Linked DNA regions of Arabidopsis thaliana. The protein of the gene in region 3 interacts with the protein of the main gene of each other region in a pairwise test. Each region holds a gene or a part of one and is shown on either strand. Other genes may lie near its edges. The genes, in order: GATA17, NAC088, NAC071 and HB27.

What was found.
Region 1: the proteins of NAC071 (region 3) and GATA17 interact in a two-hybrid assay, tested with the Arabidopsis thaliana proteins (one large-scale study listed by BioGRID).
Region 2: the proteins of NAC071 (region 3) and NAC088 interact in a two-hybrid assay, tested with the Arabidopsis thaliana proteins (one large-scale study listed by BioGRID).
Region 4: the proteins of NAC071 (region 3) and HB27 interact in a two-hybrid assay, tested with the Arabidopsis thaliana proteins (one large-scale study listed by BioGRID).

Annotation. Positions count from the first base shown.
Region 1 is NC_003074.8:5,761,613-5,767,243, forward strand, and holds GATA17 (GATA transcription factor 17), read right to left. Parts: upstream 3,149-5,631; 5' UTR 2,965-3,148; coding exon 2,776-2,964; intron 2,524-2,775; coding exon 2,140-2,523; 3' UTR 1,885-2,139; downstream 1-1,884. Other genes in the region: COBL8 (COBRA-like protein 8 precursor), read right to left, coding at 1-492; AT3G16880 (F-box and associated interaction domains-containing protein), read left to right, coding at 5,121-5,631. UniProt on the Arabidopsis thaliana protein: Transcriptional regulator that specifically binds 5'-GATA-3' or 5'-GAT-3' motifs within gene promoters.
Region 2 is NC_003076.8:6,055,379-6,060,158, reverse strand, and holds NAC088 (NAC domain containing protein 88), read right to left. Parts: upstream 2,387-4,780; coding exon 1,943-2,386; downstream 1-1,942. Other genes in the region: SIP1;2 (Aquaporin-like superfamily protein), read left to right, coding at 3,752-4,048, 4,427-4,702.
Region 3 is NC_003075.7:9,976,922-9,982,939, forward strand, and holds NAC071 (NAC domain containing protein 71), read right to left. Parts: upstream 3,635-6,018; 5' UTR 3,118-3,634; coding exon 2,961-3,117; intron 2,871-2,960; coding exon 2,581-2,870; intron 2,478-2,580; coding exon 2,253-2,477; intron 2,163-2,252; coding exon 1,956-2,162; coding exon of another isoform or gene 1,929-1,955; 3' UTR 1,782-1,928; downstream 1-1,781. Other genes in the region: ALMT12 (aluminum-activated, malate transporter 12), read left to right, coding at 70-801. UniProt on the Arabidopsis thaliana protein: Transcription factor involved in tissue reunion of wounded inflorescence stems. Required for the division of pith cells in the reunion process, which is dependent on polar-transported auxin and the wound-inducible hormones ethylene and jasmonate.
Region 4 is NC_003076.8:17,151,363-17,156,901, forward strand, and holds HB27 (homeobox protein 27), read left to right. Parts: upstream 1-3,355; 5' UTR 3,356-3,478; coding exon 3,479-4,207; 3' UTR 4,208-4,395; downstream 4,396-5,539. Other genes in the region: AT5G42765 (plasma membrane fusion protein), read right to left, coding at 72-279; AT5G42770 (Maf-like protein), read left to right, coding at 785-811, 999-1,070, 1,168-1,242, 1,320-1,400, 1,855-1,935, 2,201-2,270, 2,343-2,434, 2,525-2,566 and 2 more. UniProt on the Arabidopsis thaliana protein: Putative transcription factor.

The DNA.
Region 1 (5,631 bases), on a different chromosome or scaffold from region 3:
GTTCTTCGGAAGCGGAACACTCGGCGGAGCAACTCCAAACTGAGTACCCACGAGCTCAACACGTGCTTCCATCTGAGTTACGTCGCCGGCCGTCATGATCGCCGTCTTCAAATCCGCCGATGGAAACCCGGCGAAGATTGTCCCGTTCTCAACGCTAGCCGGGAGGCTAGAACCGTCAGAGAGAACAGCGTTGGTCGCTGAAACAAGAATCTCGCGGTGGGCGAATTTAACAAAGACTTGCCACGATTTAAGCTCGTCGCGGCCGTTGTTTAGGACCGTGATCTCTGATTCGAACCGGTACGGCTGGTTCTTCGTGTCGTTTGGTTTAATCTTGGTACCGGTTAAGTAAGTGTAGGAAACGAACACGCCGTTGCAGAGATCGGCGTCTTTAGAGCGTGGTGGTGGAGTGTTGCGTTGAGACGACGTTAGTTGAATCGCCGTGAAGAGAGATGACAAAAGAATCCATAAAATGAAATTTCGAGTTAAACCCATGATTACTCTAAATCTCTTCACTCACAAAAATCTCTTTTTTAAAAAACAAATTCTGGAAATGAAAAGGTGAAAAATCGGAAGTTTAATTTTGAAGAGAGGAAGAGACCGCGTTAAAGAACAGAACAGCTTAGTAAGACGCTGTAATGAAAATTTATGTCCGCGTTGAAAATGTGTATATTTCCTTGTTTGGTCGGATTTTAATGTTTTTTCTTGATCAAGTAAACAAAGGTTACGAACAAAAGCCAAAGACAAGGTTTTGTTCTTCTGACAAAATTATAAAATAGTGGGTTTAAGTTTTCAAATTACAAGATGAACCATATATTTCTGTTAATAAAAAAATGCAACCCCAACCTATATCTTAGTAATTATGTGAATGTGTAATTTACACCTAATCGTTAGCTATAAAACATTGATACCAAACACAGTTTATAGAATGTTCGCTTAAATGACTTATATTCAAATATTTACTGATATTTCTGTCTACTAAATTTTAGTGATTTCTAAGAGTGTTTATGGAAGTTTTGAATGTATTGAGAGTGTGATTTGATAGCTAAAATATATTATGAAGATTTTGTTTGAATTTGTGAAAAATAATAAGGAAAACGTATCTCCAAAATTAAGAAATGGTGTTTATGGAAAATATCGACAAGTTATTCCTAAATTGTACTCTTTGCTTAGGAAAATAAAGGAATCAATGGAAGTAATGGTCCTAAATCGAAGAAACTGCATAATATAAGGGTGAAACACATAAATAGAAGCTTTGGTCAAAAGAAAGTCCCCCGTTGAACGAAGTTGCCCCGTTAATTTGAATCATTCTCGAGGTTCACGGCTCTACCTAGCCATGTCACACTCACACCATTCGTCCACCAGTGATCCATTTAAATGAATTATATTTTCGTCACCACTTTAGATTTTTAAAAAAAAATTATAAGTATGATTCATGACTTTGCCATATTTAACATTACTTAAAATTTTGTTGGTCCACCATTATTAATTATTAATGATGGCTTATTAAGGTTGAATCATACGCTTACATGAAAAACAAAACCAATTGCAAATCGAAAATTTACACTGTCCCTGTTACAAAGTTACCATAACAACTTTTAATCACACAAACAGATACTCTGCCAAGTGCAAATCGAAAAATTGCCATCCTTCAATAAAATGAAAAAACAAATCGAAGTATACAACCTCAGCATGATATATATATAAAAAAAACTCTAAACCATACAAAATCTGAATTTGAAACCAGTTGTGAATTCAAAAGCATATAAAAATTCAAATCAAATGAAAAACGACATCAATGGACCAAAAAACAAAAAAATGGTGGAGTTGACGGAGACAAGACAACTAGAATCACGCGCCTCACGATTCCCCCGATAAAGCCCAATATCTTGGGCCATATGGGCCCATACACAGAGAATGACATTTGAGGCACTAAAAATTAAGACCAATTCTCATTATTATGGCATTGAATGACTAAGAACCAAAAAAAAGTGTTGATATTTGAATTCATCAAGAAAATGAACACAAAACATTAGTGGAACCAAAAAACTAGGAACTTACACATTCATTACATATTATCTCTATCTAATTAAGTTAATCAAAATCGCTCTCACTTGATTATGACCTAATACAGAGAAACACTTAGGCGTAAACAGAGCTACAAGAGAGAGCCATGAGAAGCACAGCAGCTCTTTCTTCCTCACCGAGTTTTCTCCATAACCTCTTCTTCTCAACCGCTGATCTCTTCATCACCGGTACTTTAAACCCTAAATCCAAAAACTTACTCACTCCTTTGTTACTGCTACTACTACTACTACGCTTGTTATTGCAAATTTTCGGATCATCATCGATGTCGATCTTGCCATCATCAACTATGTTGATTTTGTATTTCTTGGCGTTTCGATGGTCGAGGTTTAGATCATTATTGCAATTGCTTTTTCTGTTCTTCTTCTTCTCCTCTGATCTCATACCAAGTGCTGCTTGTCTCTTCTTCCTACTCTTGATCCCACAAGCATTGCACAATGACTACATAGCAAAAGACAAACCAAAGAAATAAGAAAAATTTGAACTTCAGAGCAATATGAGATCAGATCTTTCCGGTCACTAAATTGATTCATCACCTAAATAAATTTGAAAAACGATAAAACCTAAAATAGGATCATGCATAATATAGATGCTATTTCGCGATCCATTGATTAGATCTACTAGATCGGAATCTAACAACAACCCAATAGACTATAAGAAGATTGAAATGAAAGGGTTAGTTAAAAATCTCACCTTTGGTCCGGCAGGACCACCACGCCAAAGAGGAGTTCGGATAGTTCCGCAATCAACGCAAGTCCTTTTGGTATCACCAGAACTACTACCACCGCCACTTCCGCTGCTACTGCAGTTCTCGTTATCAACATCTGATAACTCTCCGGCAGAGTCGAGTTTTGTTTTCGTATCTTCTGATCCCTCAGACATCTTTTTTTTTTTAAGAGATCGGAGCAGAGCAAGTTTTGATGATAAGGAAGAGGGAGAGAGAGAGAGACGGCGGTTAGTAGCAACAGAATTAAACAAACGGAGAGGAATTTTATAATTGAGGAGGAAGGCGGGGGCGGAAACCCTAGTATTTCGGGTTATTTGAATTGACTAAAATACCCTCGAGCGGGAGCTTTTATTAATTTTGTGCCACCCGCCCAAAAACTTATAACTAAAATCTGAAACAATGTTTTGATTTTTTGTTTTTTAAAACTAGCCGCTTTCAAATTTTGCGGCTAGGGTTTGTTATTGGTCGCTGTCCTGACAATAATCTGTTTTCACGTTTTTTTTTTTTTCAGTTTTTGGTTTTATTTTATTTCTAATGTCAAAATTTATAATAAACTAATAAAGTTTTACGTCGGTTTTATTTACAATCAATGCAACAAATGAATTTTTTAAAAACTTATGAATGATGACTGGATTATTAATAAAAAAACAAAAAAATAATGGCAAAATTCTGTAAGATAAATATCCATTGGGCTCAATTTGATAGTCCAGGCCCATGAGCATGATAACGCAGTACAGTTTTTTAGTTGAGCTACAGAAGAAGAAATTACAGTACAGATGCACCTACCCACAAAGAAAACCCGGTGGTTCGAACCGTTAAGTTGTCACCGTAGGATTAAGTATGGCATAGGATACGTGGATGACAAATCATGCGGCCTCAACCACAAAGTTTTGAGGTTTGTTCAATCTTGGTCTTACGAAGATGTTCGGTGTGAACTCTAAACATTGGAGTGAGGATGGATATTTTCAAAAAAGTGAATTTCAAAGAATCTTCAAACATAACTTCTTCCCCACTTATGTTTCAAGTTTAGTGCAAATCCAAAATTAGTTTGTATTCTCATGTCTTGTATGAATTATTAACTAAGGCATATTTGATTTTATTCCAAACAGTTTATATATGATGGAATTGAAAAGTGATCAGCCTCCGTTTAATTTTTCAATGATCATTTCTGTTAGTAATAGAGGAACTAGAGGAATTGTTAATCAGTGTGTTCTTTTAACATGAAAAAGAAGATAGTTTCTCTTTGACATATTCATGCAGTAATTCATCATATCACAACAGAAAGATGATTTGAGACCTGACCACCAATGACCAAACATATTTATCATCAAGACAAAGAGTGAGATTATGAGTTTCCTTCGTATGCATCAGAGCATTTTTTTGGGTGAGTTCTGGAGCTTCACTCTGCAACATATGTAAGACTTCACCAATAAGATGAGATAATTTCAATATTTGAAATTCTTTGTGTATCAATGTAACTCGTACTTGAGCATTGATATGACCCTTTGCCAAGCAGATTATTAAGGAAGAAAGAAATTAACCTCGCAGTTGTAGGACTAAATTAACCTCAAAGTTCTACAAAGACAAGGTTTTCTTCCTTGGATGCCAAGTTAGGACCACAAAGCTCCTCAAACAACCACATTGCAGAAACCATCAGCAAAAAACAAGACCGATTATAAAGTTAAAAGATTGGGCTTAATTCCATAGACAAGCCCTTTACCATAATATAGGAAATTAGTACAAAATACAACAAAATTGGAAAATTGGAACTGGAAAGAGCTTTTGAAGGTCGCCGCATAAAAAAGTAACGTAACTTATTTGACTATATAACTCTAAATTAAAAAACCCTATTTTCTATGAAGTCAAAAAAAAAAAACCTATTTTCTACATCATCGAAACCTTGCTGAGACAATGACGAAGATATCCAATATTCCAATGGATTTGTTGGAGGAGATAAAGACGTAAAGACCTAATAAAGACTTGTTTTTTGGGTTCTATAAAATATAACCTTTGTTATTTAGTGTTCGAGGTAAACAAGACTAAAGTCCTTCAATGCTCATGTAAAATAGAATCTGGCCAAAGAATTATTGTTTCCTTAATTTTTACACTATAGTGGTTTAATTATACTAATTAGCCCATTAGGGAGTAAAAAGAATTATTGTTTCCTTTTCTTTTTTCACGGAAATAACTTTTGAAAGTTGGCATATAAAGTTGTTACCTAACTTATTTCTTGTCGATTAAAAAGATTAGGAAAGCGTGAGAGTAAAACCCTAAATTTCTATTACATTGATCATCCTTGAGTGCTGAAACAATGACAAAGATGTCCAAACTTCCGAATGATTTGTTGGAGGAGATACTCTCTAGAAGTCCACTGTATTCTATGAGAGCAATACGATTGACTTGCAAAAAGTGGAACACTTTAGCCAAAGAAGAAAGCTTTACAAAGAAGCAACTCGTTCAAACAAAAGCTGCCAAGGAATTTATGGTGATCATGATGATGGATTCTAAGTTTTGTTTAATGAACATCAATCTCAACAAGGAAGAAGACGTTGAACCATCTATAAAGTGTAATGGTAAAATTATTAACCCAATCGGTATGTGTCGAGTCTATCATTGCGGTGGTTTGGTATGCATCACAAAAAGCTTCAGTAACACTAGAGATGTGGTTTGGAATCCGTATTTGGGGCAAACTCGGTGGATCAAACCTAGAAGCCATCACGCATATATATATGCTATTGGATACGAGACGAAAAAATCGTGCCGCAGCTACAAAATTTTGAGTTCTGAACACAATTATATAAATATTGATGATGAACGTGTTG
Region 2 (4,780 bases), on a different chromosome or scaffold from region 3:
TACCATTACTTCTTTTCCCGTAAATTGTAGCTACTGAATGATAAAGCTATTCACCATTTGAGTAACTGACTCTCTTTAGTAAAAAGTATTTATAGATTTATGGTTTGCATTTAGATTAATTAAACGCACGCGTTAAAAAAAAAAAAAAAGAAGCGTGAGCCAAACGATTGAAGAAAAGTTTAGCTAATTTAGCCAAATAGTAATGAAAATGTTTCAGTTACAAAATAAAAAATGGCTTTACATTTATTGACAAAGCAAAACAAAAAGAATATGGGGGTTACATTTGAAAAAGTAGCTTTATTGTTTATGGGTTGTCTCTAGAAAAATGATAGTCTATGTGTAATAAATTAAGTGGTTGGCGTAAGCTTGACGATGACGGTGAAGAAGTTGGGAGTTTTTGGGAGATTCACAGTCAAAGTTCACATTTTTAAAAGTTCCTTTTTGCTGCCAATCCATACCTCAACCAACAACAAATTTGTCAGTTGTGTGCATTTATCTGTCGGTTTAAAATGGTTTTGCATAGACTATATAATAACAAAAGTTGAAGCTACTATATTTTTTATGTTATAAAACTTTATCCTATAAATATTGAAATGAAATACAAGTAATGAAACTTGCAAGTAATAAAGAAATATAAAGCTTTCCTGCTCACCTTATATTAATTTATAACGTTAAATATTTATACCATTTTTGAATTGCATCAGCGATTAATAGGGAAACAATCAAACAAAGAAGAGAGTAAGACTGAAAACTACAACTAAAAACAACAAAACAACAAAACATACCACAAGAAAAACATAATCAATGTTAAGTTATATTATATATGGTTCAACTTTTCTTTCTCAATCTTGACAAAATTGACCATACGTATTTTCCCTTAGAGCATCTACAACAATGGGATCCATATTTTACAATAAAAAATTTACAAATAGACATTTGAACTAGATTTATATTTGACATTGTCCAATGATGGGATCCAAATATAGAGGATCTAAAATTTTAAATGTTTGAAAAATGTGTCTAAGGTATGTGTGTTTGTGTGTCCAAAGAAGCGTCCAAAAGAGTGACTAAATGTCCAAAAATAGATCTGTATCTAAGGTTTTTTCTTCAATTTTGATTTAATTTTTAGATCTTTGATGTTTAGGACATCCTATTCCAACAAAATCTGAAGACCGACGCTAAAAACCCTAAACAGACTTATATTTCATATGTGTAGGTGACAGTGACAGACCGTATTCCTCAAAACGTGGAAAGATTCTTCCGTTTGTGAGATTCGATCTAATATTTCTTTAAAAATATATATATTACTACAATATGTTCAGAAGAAGAAGAATCCTCTACAATCAATTCATACAAAAATATAGGAAATCAAATAGCAATATCGTTTTTTTTTTTTCATCTTTTATAGATTGACTAAATAGAGCAAGAAAACTAGCAAACTTCCTTTTTTGTTGATATATACTACGTACAAAAGATAAGTTCTTATCATAAAAGTTTGTTGAAACATGTTTACCTCTTCTACTCTAGGGTTTGGATTTAGAGTTTAGATACAAGCTTTATTTCATATATTTCTCAAGAAAATATTAATATCTCATTATATTTTCATACATTATATGAATAATACGTACTGTCTTCCTCGGAAAAAAAAGGAAACCATTATTGTTATCTATGAAAAAAGTAACATGCGAAGAGCTGCAAAGCTCCTCATAAAAAACTTGAATAATCTTTAATTAAATAAACAAGAAAACATTGAGACTCTCAGATCCTTGACTTATAATGTGTATACTAATAAAGATATAAGAATACGGGAGAATCTTCAAACGAAACACAACGAAATAAAATGATGATGAGTAACGTAACTACCTTTAGAAAAAAAAAAAAAAAAAAGAAGTCATCGTTTTCCATAATCATCATATTTTTGAGGGATATTCACCAAACAGAATCATGGTCCTTTAAGGTGGCAGAGACGTTGGTTTTGATTGCCAATGGAAGAATACTCCCTCATGGTCCAACCACTCGTTTTGCTCTCATCACCTTCAACGTAGAACCTGAGATTCCTCTTCTTCCCGATCACTTCACCGGTTTTCTTCGACACGACATCTTTTAACTCTCCAGTGGCTTTCCAACCTTTAACTTTGCGATTTGTCCTTTTCACGAAATAAAACCACTCGTTAGGTTCAAAGATATCATTCTCTGTGTGATTAAGCCGCCACGGCTCTTTGGCGTAGATGTTGTCCCTGTCTTCTAACAAATATATCGTGTTTGGTTGGTGGAAGCCAAGCTTTGGTAGAAGATAATCGAGTATGAGTTCTTCTTCTGAAGGATTAAATCTAAAGCAACCAAGCTCTTCCTCTTCATCGTAAAATTCTTCAGTCATCGGCATCATCTTCTTCTTCTGAAATTTCCTCGAGTCAAATGAGAGAGAATTAATTATGAACCTCCTCTAATGAGGTTTATATAAAGTGGAGTATGATTGAGAACCGACTATTGAATATTATCTAATTTGGATTAGTTTTGGATATATATAAATATACAAAAAGGAAAGTTTACAAGTTTTTCATGTTATTTTTATAAAAATAAATCCAATAGGCACAGGGCTATACCAAACGAATAATAATGATGTCAAAAAAATAAACGAATAATAGTTAATAATTTTTCAAAAAACTAAAGACATTTATTTTGTGGCCCAATAATTCCAAACACATCAATTTGAAAAAAAAAATTATGTAGAGGAGATACAAAAGGAAAACAAAAAAATTTGTATGGTTTCGCACTGGGCTGGGCCTATCTAGAGTCCAATAGTCAGCAATGGTTTGGTTAACCTTTCTTTCTTAACCTTGGCTAAACAGACCACAAGTTTGGGTTCTAAGGTTAGATAACAATAAAATCTCAGGGCCGACCCCTGATACTTATGCTCATAAGCATATCCTAATTCTTTTAGCTAATATCGTTTAACGAATTTATGCTAATAATAACATGCGATCTCATTACTTGAATATCAAGAAATGCAACAAACTCTCTCTTTTTCGTCCCAAGAGGGGGTCTTGGCCTCTTGGGTATACTTTCTGCAGAACCATAAATTATGTTTCTCGTTTAGGTTCTGTCCTTTTTTTTTCTTTTTTTATAATATCTTGACTATATACCAGCCTATGTATATCATTTTTTTTTACTCTAATATATACTGGAAAAAGGAAAGAAAAAAGGTTTTTGTTTGTGCTCAATTCCTATAAGTTAATTTTTACATGTATCTGTTCTCAATAGTGTCTACATTCATTTGATCATTATAATTTGTACACTAGTACACTAAAAAGGAAAAAGAAAAAAAGCAGTATAGACTTTCCATAGTCAGAGCTCACCAAAAAGGAACCATGGTCATTTGAGGTGGCAGAGAATATGGAAATGAACTCATTACATATTTTGTACAACAAACCCATTTTGGAATTAAACAGGCCCTCTATGTTAATCAGAGCATAAGGATTTCATCTTTTTCTCTACAAACTTTTCAATTATCTTTTTCTAAGAGTTACAAAAGTATATTTGTTTTCTATATAAATTTGGGATAGTCTATCTACATTTCTACAAAATTCAGCTAACCGTTAGGTGAGTCACTCATAGTCATACATATCTTCCTTCTATATAAAAAAAGAATATTAGTTTTGAGTGGACTGATAAATATATTCTTTTCAACAAGAAGAAAACAATCTTCTTAAACCCAAACGTTCAAGAAAAAGAAAAAAAAACGATACTTACGATGAGTGCGGTAAAATCGGCGTTAGGTGATATGGTGATAACCTTTTTGTGGGTTATTCTCTCGGCGACGTTTGGGATACAGACGGCGGCGATTGTTTCCGCCGTAGGGTTTCATGGTATCACTTGGGCTCCTCTTGTGATCTCAACGTTGGTTGTTTTTGTCTCCATCTCGATTTTTACGGTTATTGGAAACGTTCTTGGTGGTGCTAGCTTCAATCCTTGTGGAAACGCAGCGTTTTATACCGCCGGTGTTTCCAGTGATTCTCTCTTCTCCTTGGCCATTAGATCTCCTGCTCAGGTGTGTGTTTATGATCTAAGCTAGCTTTTGAAACCAAACCAACTTCTTCTTCTTGTTCTTTATTTTGTTCTGAACAGAAAGATTTTTGTTCATATACTTGTGACATCTTTTCATATGAGTATTTGCTTTTGTGTCTTGTCTCTTCGAATAAGAATCTATTAAAGTTTTATCCTTACACATTGTTTATGAATTTCTTTACATTTATTTTGTTGTTAGAGCAATGTATTTTCTTTGTTTGTTGGATCTATGTGAAGTTTATTGTGTGTGGTCCATGTGTGTTTTTGAATAACGTACAAACTTTTTTAATTGGAGATTTTGGCCCAAGTACCCACTGGCATATTTGTTTCCATATGTAATGTAACCTTTTATATATCTTAGGCAATTGGTGCGGCAGGCGGTGCGATAACGATCATGGAGATGATACCGGAAAAGTATAAGACTAGGATTGGAGGAAAGCCTTCATTGCAATTTGGTGCACACAATGGAGCTATTTCTGAAGTGGTCCTAAGTTTTAGTGTTACATTTTTGGTTTTACTAATTATCCTAAGAGGTCCTCGAAAACTGCTCGCGAAAACGTTCTTGCTCGCACTCGCTACCGTATCGGTGTTTGTCGTAGGTTCTAAATTCACTAGACCATTCATGAATCCTGCCATTGTAAGTTCATACTCGTCCTACTCAAGAATTGTTAATTCATTTTTATTACATTTTGAAATGAATCTTGATATATAGTCT
Region 3 (6,018 bases):
ACTATAATGTCATGTTTTATAATCAACTTAAAATCATTTTCTATATTTGTTTATCTTTTGTTTTTCAAGACTCCAAGATCCGTTCGCGCGCTTTTTAAAGATCCTTGTGTAAGATTAGCCGGAGAAGTATGCAAAGCTTTGACGGAACTCGCAGATAGCATCTCAAACCACCGTCATTGTTCACCGGAGATTCTATCCGATCATCTCCACGTGGCACTTCAAGATCTTAATTCCGCTATCAAGTCTCAGCCTAAACTCTTCCTTGGCTCTAACCTCCATCGTCACAATAATAAACACCAAAACGGTAGCATTTCCAATAACAAACACCATCAGCGCAACAGTAGTAACAGTGGAAAAGATCTAAACGGCGACGTTTCTCTTCAAAATACCGAAACCGGTACACGTAAAATTACAGAAACCGGTTCACGTCAAGGCCAAAACGGAGCCGTTTCACTTTCAAGCTTTAGGACTGACACGTCAGCTTTAATGGAGTACCGGAGATCGTTCAAGAACAGTAACTCAGAGATGTCGGCGGCGGGAGAGAGGAGGATGTTACGGCCACAGCTGAGCAAAATCGCGGTGATGACGAGTCTCGAATTCTCGGAGGCATTACCGTTCGCGGCGTTTGCGTCGTTGCTAGTGGAAATGGTGGCGAGGCTCGATAATGTAATCGAAGAAGTTGAGGAATTGGGAAGGATCGCAAGTTTTAAGGAGTATGATAACAAGCGAGATCAGACGGCTGACGATGTCCGATGCGAAAACCCGGCGAATGTTACGATCAGTGTCGGTGCCGCGGAATGAAGCAACGAACGACGACGATAAATTGAGTTTTTTAGATTAGACTAAACCGATCGGTATAAGGGGTCGATGATGCGATTCGATTCGGTTTGGTATGATTCGGTTTGTCCTTTTTACGATGATGGGAATTAGGAATCGGATGCTTTTTCCTTTTCGTGTCTTCGTTTTCAGAATTTACTAATAAGAAAATTATCGTTTCTTGAATAGAAAAAACTATTATGTGTTTCGTTGTGTAATGAATTGAGATGTCTGGTTAAGACAAACAATACAAGGAGAAAGATACAGTCGTAATGTTTAAGGCCGGTTATTTCTGGTCCGGCAATTTGAATTTCCGGAATTTAATTGTAAAGTGAAAAACAGAAAAAAAAGAAAAAACAAAAAAAGGAAGGGCCCAACCGGGTTCGAACCGGTGACCTATTGATCTGCAGTCAATTGCTCTATCACTGAGCTATGGACCCAATTTGATATTGTTCACATTTTGTAAATCATATAGACTATATATCAAAAGTATTTCGTAGATCATTTTCAAGAGGAAGAAATATTCTTATAAATTTTAAAAGAATGAAATGTAGAAAGCTCATGGAAAAAAGAATTTTGTTTGAAAGGTCTCTAACAATTGAGAAATGCAAGCTTTTGGGATTTTCATACATCTGTAAACAAATTGCTGCGTCACATAGTTTTTGATTTTAATCTCTGCATATTTATGGAATTTTGTTTACATAAACTTTTGAAATGTCAAAATGGTCCCGAAACTATTGCTTTTATAGACAAAATATTGGATTTTTAATGCAAATGATTGTTATGACTTCTACATAAGTTGCTTTATATAATATAAGTTTGGTCCAATTAATGATTGAGAAGAACATGATTGATTCTCTTTGCATATATCATATCAAAGGTATCGGAACATTAAAATAAGACTCTATAATAACGTAAATCTTCATACGAAAAAACTTTAAATAAGGAATTTATTATACTCATTCCTTATATTAGCAAACAATATATATAAAACTAAAATAAAAACCAAGAGTAAGATAATTAAATTCTCAAAAGAAAATGATAGACGTTCACAACTAGTTCTTCTTCTTCTTCCAAGTTCCAAGACACCAACGTTAAAAGGCGTTTTTGTCCTAAGAACGAACCAACATTTCTTGTAGCTAAAAAAGGTTTGAGTAGTCAAATGAACCGGTTTGGTCATTTTCATAATTTGTCCAATAACCGGTTTGCATCGACTGATCAATGTCCTGGTCCACATTGAAATAACAAGAGCTCACCGGAAATTCCACGTGGTGGTTTGCCGTGGTGACCGGAAAATGGTAGTTGGGAAAGCACTCAGAAGCAACCTCCTTAATCTGAGGATAATCCTATATTTAAAATCACAAAACCAAAAACACATATCAGACCACTACTGTCTATACAAAAACTATTTTGGTTTAGATAATAGATGTAGGTACCTTTGACGAATCAAGGATGAAATCAGGAGAAATCCAAATGCTTGAAGAGTCGTTTGTAGTAGAAGAAGGCTTGAACGATTGAATCTGCGACGCTTCATCGCGACAAGGAGAGGTCGCGAGGCTAGAGTAACAAGAACCAATGTCTTGTTCGTTTTTATTTTTCAAACTTTTCGAATTTTTCTTCAGTTCATTCTTCTTAACTACGCGACATAACGCAAAAGCTCCCTAAAATTCAAACATATATATGGTTTTTAGGCTTCGTTCCATTAGTTCATAAAAATGAATATTATGAAGTTGGATCAAATGAAACGAACTCTAATTTTCTTACCTTGAAATTTGGTGATTTTTGTGAATGATCATCAATATCGCATAGACGATATTCATGCATAAACCAATTAGTTCTGTCGCCTAATGGGGCACGACCTTCATAGAAAACTAAGGTTTTTCGGTATCCAGCTATAACATGCGATGATTTACAAGTGATTTTCCGGTCTTTACCAGTTGCTTTCCAATAACCCGCTTTTGTAGCCCTATTGGTTCGAGAACCGTTTGCATATTTTTTGTCTCTTGGACAGAAAAAGAACCATTCCAAATCTCTATTTGGAAGGAAAGATTTACCTAAAATTCAAAGATAAAATCAAACAAATTTAGTTTTATTTAAATATAAATTTATGGATAAAAATCTAATTGTTTTCCTTTTCAAATTACCTGGCAACTCCCAAGGATCAAATTTGTATAAGTCGATAACAGGAATGACTTCAAGCTCAATCTCGAGACCTTCTATTTTTCTACTCAAGTAGTAGCCTATGAGCTCTTCATCAGTTGGATGAAATCTAAATCCTGGAGGCAAACATGAACTCCCCATTTGCAAAATTCACACTTGTAGCTTGCGACACAAGAGAGTTGTCGAAAGCTAATATTTAACTAAATATCTATTGACTATTTGGAAAATCTAAAAATATAAACTTTTTTCGACATTCAATTTGTTTTTGAAAATAAGTTGCAACTCACTTTGATTGCATCCTTTTTGTGACAATATCATTGTCTGAAAGAGATTGTATGTTTACAAAAAAAAAAACGAATTATCCAAAATTCTCTTTTTAAAAATATATCTAACACCTAAGAAAAAAAATAGAAACAAACTTAAGGTACAATTCAGAAATAACGAAGAGCAGTTGGTGGAAGAGCTAATTGCTGCGGGTCAAAGAGTCTGACTGAGGAAAAGGGTTCTCTGACTTATTAGCTATACAAGACCAAAAAAAAAAAAAAGTTATTAGTGAGTATTGATTAGGAGAGTGATTAAGATCGGAGAGAAGAAGAGAAGGTTGGTAGAGTGTTGAATGGTTGTGGGGTGAATGATATTTATAGCACAAAGGTTGCGAAACTTTGTGAGGCAAATTTAATCATAGCTTAAAATATGTTGATGAATTTTTCTGTAGAATAAACAAACAGTATTATAATAGTCAGTGCCGTTAATATTCAGAAGAAAAAATAACTCGACACACCGAAAGCGGATAAAGACATTGCTTGTCTTAAGAGTTCCCAAAATTCAAAAAGAAAGTGGACCTACCTGGTCTCTAAAGTTAGACTTGTTCACACTTCACACATCAATGATTCAATAATACTATCACCTATAATTAATCAAAACTTATTTTTCTATTTTTTAATTTCATAAGACGTCGTTTCGTTTTGTAAAACGATATGTTTATAGGTGTGTTGGCAAATTAGTCACTTTTGAAAACATAATTATGGAGTTGGGCAAGTTACTATTTACACTTGACAAAACATGTAACTCACTTTGGGCGTGTAATAGACGAGCGTGAAATAGAAGTTTGGGGTGGGGTAAGTGATGTGTTTTGAAATTACCGAACTATCCTTTTGACAGAGAAGAAAGATAAAAGTGAAATATTCTTTTTTTTTTTATTTCTTTTTAATAACCCCTCCAATTTAATAATTGAAATACTTATCAATATAAATTTATTTTCTAAACTAATTCATATACATAAAAATCTATGTATTTTTCTTTATAATTTGATATGCATTTTGTTAATATTTTTAATATATTACAGACATTTTATCAGTAGTCGGTACACTTAATTATGTGTACAGACTTTATTTTGTACGTTGCATTAGCTGTACAGAGTATATAATTGTATGGAGTATACAATTATCAGTAGTCACTTTTCACTGTTGATTCGTACACTTAGACCTGTACAATATTTTTAGTGTATATATATATATATAAATATACACAACGTACACTTACATCTGTACACTAAAAAATGTTGTACAGATCTAAGTGTACGAATCAAACAGTTAAAAGTGACTACTTTGCAAATTGTGAATAGTAAAATGACTATTTTTCCAATTATGGCTGGACGATTTCAATTTGTACTTATTAAATAAGTTGTATAAATAAAAATCTGTACACATAATTAACTGTACTGACTACTAATAAAAATGTTTATATAATATATTTAAAATTATTAACAAAATGCATATCAAATTATAGAGAAAAAATATAGATTTTTATGTATCTGAATTAATTTAGAAAATAAATTTACATTGATAAGCATTTCAATTATTAGATTGAAGAGGTTATTAAAAAATAAATAAATATATATATATATATATATATATATATATATATATATATATATATATATAAAGAAATACAAAGAATGTGAGTATGAGGAGAGAGAAATGTTGAATCTAAAAGCACAAATCCCAATTGCTTTCAACGACATTGGAGAAGAAGAAGATTAGTGGCATATTTGTAAATAATAGAGTTGGTATGGGGTATATTTGATTTTGTCTGTAATAGGGTCAAAGGTTAGTGACTAAAAATCCAATTATAAATAGTAATTTGCCCAATTCCATAATTAAGTTTAAATATCTGACTACTTTACAACTTAACCCTATGTTTATTTGCATGTCATTCTTGTATATCGGATTAGTAAACCTTGGTTAACCAAAAAGAGAGAGATATATTTTACATTTCTCTAATGTTTTTTCTAGCTCGTTTCTTTGATATAAGTATGTAACGGGAGTTTTAGTTCTAGGTCATAGAAACTCGGTCCTAGCTAATTCTTTTATTTTTCCTTTCGTTCAATATTCTAAACTTTTTCTTGACTATTTTGAAGGGGGTGTAACAATGTTCCTCCACGTCAGTATGAGTAAGACAAAACTGCTTTTTATTAGAGTAACCACTTTCAACTTTTAAGACATTAGAAGAGATAACAAAACTTTGAAGAAAATTTTGTTTATTGTCTTCTTTTTACCGGAAATATGTTATTGTTTAAGATGTAAAGTTGTAGTTTAAAGTTTAGTTCCCATTTGTGTAAGACCCGATAGCTGAAATATTCAAGAGGAAAAGAAAATAAAAAAATATTGGGAAAACGAATGACTTCACGAGATGGAAATGTATAAGGTTAATAAGTTCTATATACCAAAAAGTGCACCTTATAATTATACGATACTTTAGGAACGGTCACCATGACCCCTAACACTGATTAAAGAGAGACAAAAGAACAAAAATGAAGAAAAAGGCCTAAAGCGTGAATAACTACGTCATATGGTAGGAAAAGAAGAAGTTAGCCTATGAAATACGAATAACGGATCTTCTATGTTGACTATACTGAGCCCTAATTTTATATATCAAAAAGTACCATATACGTTTGAATATTATGTCGTTACTAATTAATGTCCGGGGGTAAATTCATATCAGTAGTCATATCGGAACTATTTTTGCAAATTCTAAATAGAT
Region 4 (5,539 bases), on a different chromosome or scaffold from region 3:
TTTTTTCAAAATTCACAAATTTGGAGATAAGATCAATAAAATGAAGAGTGAGTGAGAAGTGTGTTGTGTACAGATTCCTAAGGAGAAGGCGAAAGCGGGATTGGTGGGGGAGAGAGTGAGGAGAAGAGAAGTGGCGGAGGAGAGAAGAACGGTGGCGTCTCGGCGAGAGATAATCTGTGGCAGGTGGTCGGAGATTTGTGCGGCGGCGATTGGTGGTGGTGGTGGAGGTTTAGTGTTTGAAGAGAAGAAAGGTTGAGAAATTGGGATAAGACGAGCCATGGCTTAACATTAACGAGCTAAGTTATGTGTACCCGCTCATGTGGTATTTACCAATGGTTTCCTTTTTGAACAGATTTTTGTCTTGTTTTTAAACACAAAACGACGTCGGTTTGTGAACATAATAAAAATGTAAATGTTGACTTATCTTTGCTAAATTGGTCCGTCAGCTAAGGATGTACCTTATTTAGCAAAATTAACGAAAATTAACGATTTAATTGAAAATCAACTAAAGTTTAAAATTAAAGTCATCCTACTCAAAATTGGTGCTTTGTTTCACCACTTTTGATAAACTGGTGATGGTTTTTATGACATTTTTTCCAGTAATAAAAGGGGTAGTTATGCAATTTAGTAGAAGTTAAAGGGTTTCTAAACAAACTTAAAAACCAAATTTTTCTTTATTGCTTTGCTCGAGAGTGCCTGCAACTGCAACAGTTGAGATTTTGAGCGTGTCAAGGATTCTGATTGATAACGATATTCAAGTTCAGCAATCTCATTGCAGTAGAAAATGGAATCGAATCATCCTCACTTCAAGGTCCGCTTCTTTTCAATAGGTTTCTAGTTCGATTCATGAACTGTTTCTGCAGTCAATTTCGAACTTGTGAAATCTCCATAACTTGTGCTTTGAATGTATTTGCTAAAGCTATAATCTTGTTGCGTTTCAAAAACCATCCTTTGGAAAAATTGGAGTCTTTTGGTTGCTTATTGAAATTTGTTTGCAGCTAATTTTGGGATCTTCTTCGATTGCTCGACGTAAGATACTAACAGATATGGGATACCAATTCACTCTCATGGTAATTTCTTGTTCCTTTGAAATTATTATTCAAAGACTGCATTTTTGTATTTGGGCTTCTAGTTCAAGTAGAAGTTTACTGGTAATTGTTAATGTAGAGTGCTGATATTGATGAGAAAAGCATCCGCAAGGAGAAACCTGAAGAGTTGGTTTTGGCTTTAGCTGAGGCAAAGGTAACTTCATTAGTCATCTGCAATAAAATGGTTGCTTTTATGGTTCATGTTTCTTTTTGTTAATCTTGTCATCACAGGCTGATGCTATTGTGTCAAAACTACAAATTAGTGAATGTGAAGATGAGGAACAACCGAGAGTCTTGATTGCATCGGATACAGTATGTAGTTTTTGGTTTAGCTAATTACTAGTAAAGTCTCCATCTACTATCACCAAGTTCCATTTTATGTTCTTGGGAATGCATCATCATCTTCTTTGGAAATATACACTCTTACGTCGTAATAGCTCTGATTTGTCCTGCACCAGAAGTTGCTTTATGGGTTTTATCTCTTTAGGGTCCTCTATATCTTACTCTGAAGCTAGTATTTGTCATTCTTTAGGTCTTGATCTACTCTTGTTTATTCTGTGAAATTTAAGTCTTTATGCTCTGCCTACATGATTTGATATCGCATGTTTTGTAGCTCCGCCTACAATTATCATTTCTGCTTCCACCAGTGTTTTTATTAACTGGAGGGACCTGTTTCATGCATATATCTTTTATTAAGCCAAAGGTGTTTTATATAGCATTTGCTCTTCATCAGTCTCATTGATAAACCGGCATAATTTTTTCCCAGGCTGAAGCAATCATGCAGCGGATCCCTGATGGTGAAAACATAGAGGAGGATAAGTCGACCTTACTTATTACTTGTGACCAAGTACTGAGCTATATTTAAACTTTCTGTGTTTGCTCAAAGCTTTACTATGATATTATCAACTAGCTAGCTGTAATGGACACCCATGTTAGGTTAGGTTAGTGATTAAATGGAGTCTAAAGAGCTAAGATTGTTTAAACATTCAGGTTGTTTGTAATTTATAGGAGTTGACTAATGAAAGATGGGGCATTCTAAGGACAGAAATGGAATTTGGTGATAATAGATAGTCTATGAGAGACTTGGGTTTAATGTTTTGAATTGTATGAAGGTGGTTGTCTATGAAGATGCTGTTAGAGAGAAACCCTCGAGTGTCGAAGAAGCAAGGGAGTACATAAGAGGTAAGCTCACATGATTTGTTTTGCTTACTATAACTCAAGGCTTAAGGTTAAAGAACTAAATTCAAAACACAGGCTATTCCAAGGGGCATACAGCAACAGTGAGTTCTGTGGCTGTGACAAATCTCAAAACAGGAGTCAGAAAAGGAGGCGTCGATAGAGTGGAGGTAACACTATAATCTTGCGTTTCATTAAAGTTAGGATTGTTACAATTTGGGAAATATATAGCATCAGCTGATGATGTAAATTCCTAACAGATCTATTTCAATGAAATACCGGAAGAGACTATCGAGAAACTGGTGAGTGGTGTTTTGTACAAGTTTAAGACATATATTTCACCATATCAATATTGAAGTTAAGGCTGTGTTGATGAGCAGATTGAGGAAGGCATGGTGCTTAAGGTGGCTGGTGCACTCCTAATCGAGCATCCGCTAATCTTGCCATGCGTTAAGGAAGTGGTTGGATTCCTTACCTTGTCCATTTTAAAATATGAACCATTATATGAATTTACAAGGATTTAAGTCTATATAGTCTATCCCTTCTTCTTCATAGATACACATGTTGATCATACGGTTTCGTTCCTCTTGTTCTTTTAATACCGTTTTGGAGCATGGGATGTTAAACTAGGTTGTATTGTTGTATCAGGTTGGGACAACAGATAGTGTGATGGGTCTGCCCAAAGAATTGACTGAGAAACTGATAAAGGAAGTATTGGCAAGCACATAGGTACATTCGTCGCCTCTGAATGTTGGTGTATTCATGTTGTGAGGATTATAGATAAGTTTCGGAGTTTAATTTGGGAAATGAGCTTAATGTTACAGTCAAACTAGTTTATTCAGTTGTTTTACTACCTCTTGTTTCTGACTTAACCTTTAGACTGGAATTGGTAATTGATAGCGTGATATTAGAGAGGCTTACCATCAAAACCACCCAAACCGAAGTAAACCAAACCGGCTGAACCTAAGTTTAAGTAAATAAGGTTTGTGTTGGACTTACGGTCTCTTGGTTTGGTTTGGTAGCCCCTAACCAATTGGTTACGTAATTTATTTCCGGTTAAACACAAGTTTTGTTGGAAAACGGAAACTGTGACTGGTCACTAGTCACTATCAAGCAGCCTAAAAAGTATCGACTCTTCTTTATCAAAAAAGTTTACACAAACACTTTCTCTCCACTGAACTCATTTTCTCTCTTCTTCTTCATCATCATCATCAATGGATGAGATAAAACCAAAGAAAGAAGAGAATTCCAAACGACGTCGTAACGTCAAACCCATTTGCCGTGAAACTGGAGACCACGTCCATTATCTTCCAACATGCAAAACCAAGCCCAAACCCACGCGTACTCATCACGCGCCACCACCGATCCTCGACTCAATCTTCAAAGTCACTCACAAGCCACACTACTACGAATGCAGGAAGAATCACGCCGCTGATATCGGAACCACCGCTTACGACGGCTGCGGCGAGTTTGTTAGCTCCACCGGTGAAGAAGATTCTTTAAACTGCGCCGCATGTGGCTGTCACCGTAACTTCCACCGTGAAGAGTTAATCCCGGAGAACGGCGGCGTTACTGAGACGGTTCTTGAAGTTCTCAAGATTTCATCGTGTCAGTTTCGTCGGATCTTTTGCTCACCTTACGGCGGTGGAAAAAGCGAAGGAAAGAAGAAGAAGAAGGAGAAGGAGAGTTATGGAGGGGATCCGATAATTAAAGATCGATTCGGCGGTGCGGAGGAGGAGGAGGGGATAGTGAAGAGGTTGAAAACGAAGTTCACGGCGGAGCAAACGGAGAAAATGAGGGATTATGCGGAGAAGCTTCGGTGGAAGGTGAGACCTGAGAGGCAGGAGGAGGTTGAAGAGTTTTGTGTAGAGATTGGAGTGAATCGGAAGAATTTTAGGATTTGGATGAATAATCACAAGGATAAAATTATAATTGATGAATGATTATTTACCAAACTTAATTGTGTTACTTTTCTTTTCATTCTACTTTGTTTTAATTTGTGTTTGATTTAGTGTAATGTATAAATAACAAGCTCATTATTGGCTAAAACCAATTGTGGAGAAGGATTTGCCACAACCTTCGTAATCAATAGTTTTAATGCAAGAAGTAAGTAATATTTCGTTTGGATTTCTGATCTGCTGTGCTCATTACTTGTAAGTTGGCCCAACCCAAAATGTGAATGGTCAAGAACATGAACATGACAAGGTTCTTAAAACACAATATTACAAGAAAGAACACCAACTATGAAAGCAGACCCCAACTACACGTTTCTTATACCAAAAAACTGACTTGGCCTTCATTTCCTACATAAATCTTACTTGTTCTTTAAGTCCTGCACTGAGTGATAGAGCCTTGAGAGGGTTTACCTAGAGAAGCCTACAATATGGAATTTGGACTCCAAGCTTGTGCAAATTTGAACGCTTGCTTTAAACATAAATATGTTTTGTCTAAATGATTTATCTCGATTTTTTGCACTATTATGCGAAAAAGACCGTTAGTTGCGTTCCTTTTTTTTTTTTTTTCTAGATTTAGGTTTATAATAGTAGATTGTTTAATTTCTTAACTCACTTACTATTTTAACTTGCATGTGTTTATTCAACCATCTTGTTTTTGTTCGCAACACGTAGTTTAGTTTCAGTTATCTTAAGTACTGTCATTCATATTTAGTCTTGAGAATATCAACAAAAACTAAACGATTCTTAGCTTAGTTCATATCTCATATCTTTGGTGTGTGACATTCTTAATATTTAATCATCGACCTTGTTATTACGACCACCTTCCTTCACTTTACTCTTTCGATTAAGTAATAAAAATTCGGACACAACATCTATAGTGGACTTCATCCAGATTAGTCTTGAAGATTTACACGGCCGCACTAGTACCAGAGCAAAATTGATGAACATATCGCTACAACCGGAATAGTAGGCAACCCTTTTAAGCTTTACCGCTTCATCTAATCATCTTCCACCTATGTAGATGTCCTCACATTGAGATGACAAAGTTGTATGGAGATATATACTCTTATACGAGGACATCCTCTACAAAGTTGTATGAAGAATACACCAAACAATCGAAAGTTTGTTAAGAGTTTATCTACCGATTCTGTCTTTTTCTTTCTTCACCAACTCTTGATTGTATGTGAATGTTAAATGAATTATAGACTAATTATTTTTTATTCTATTTTTCTAACTACAAAAATAGAAATCATAACGCAAAAAGAAAAAGTTTCTTACCATTGGCCTTTGCCAAAAGGATGCGAATTTTACATATGTACA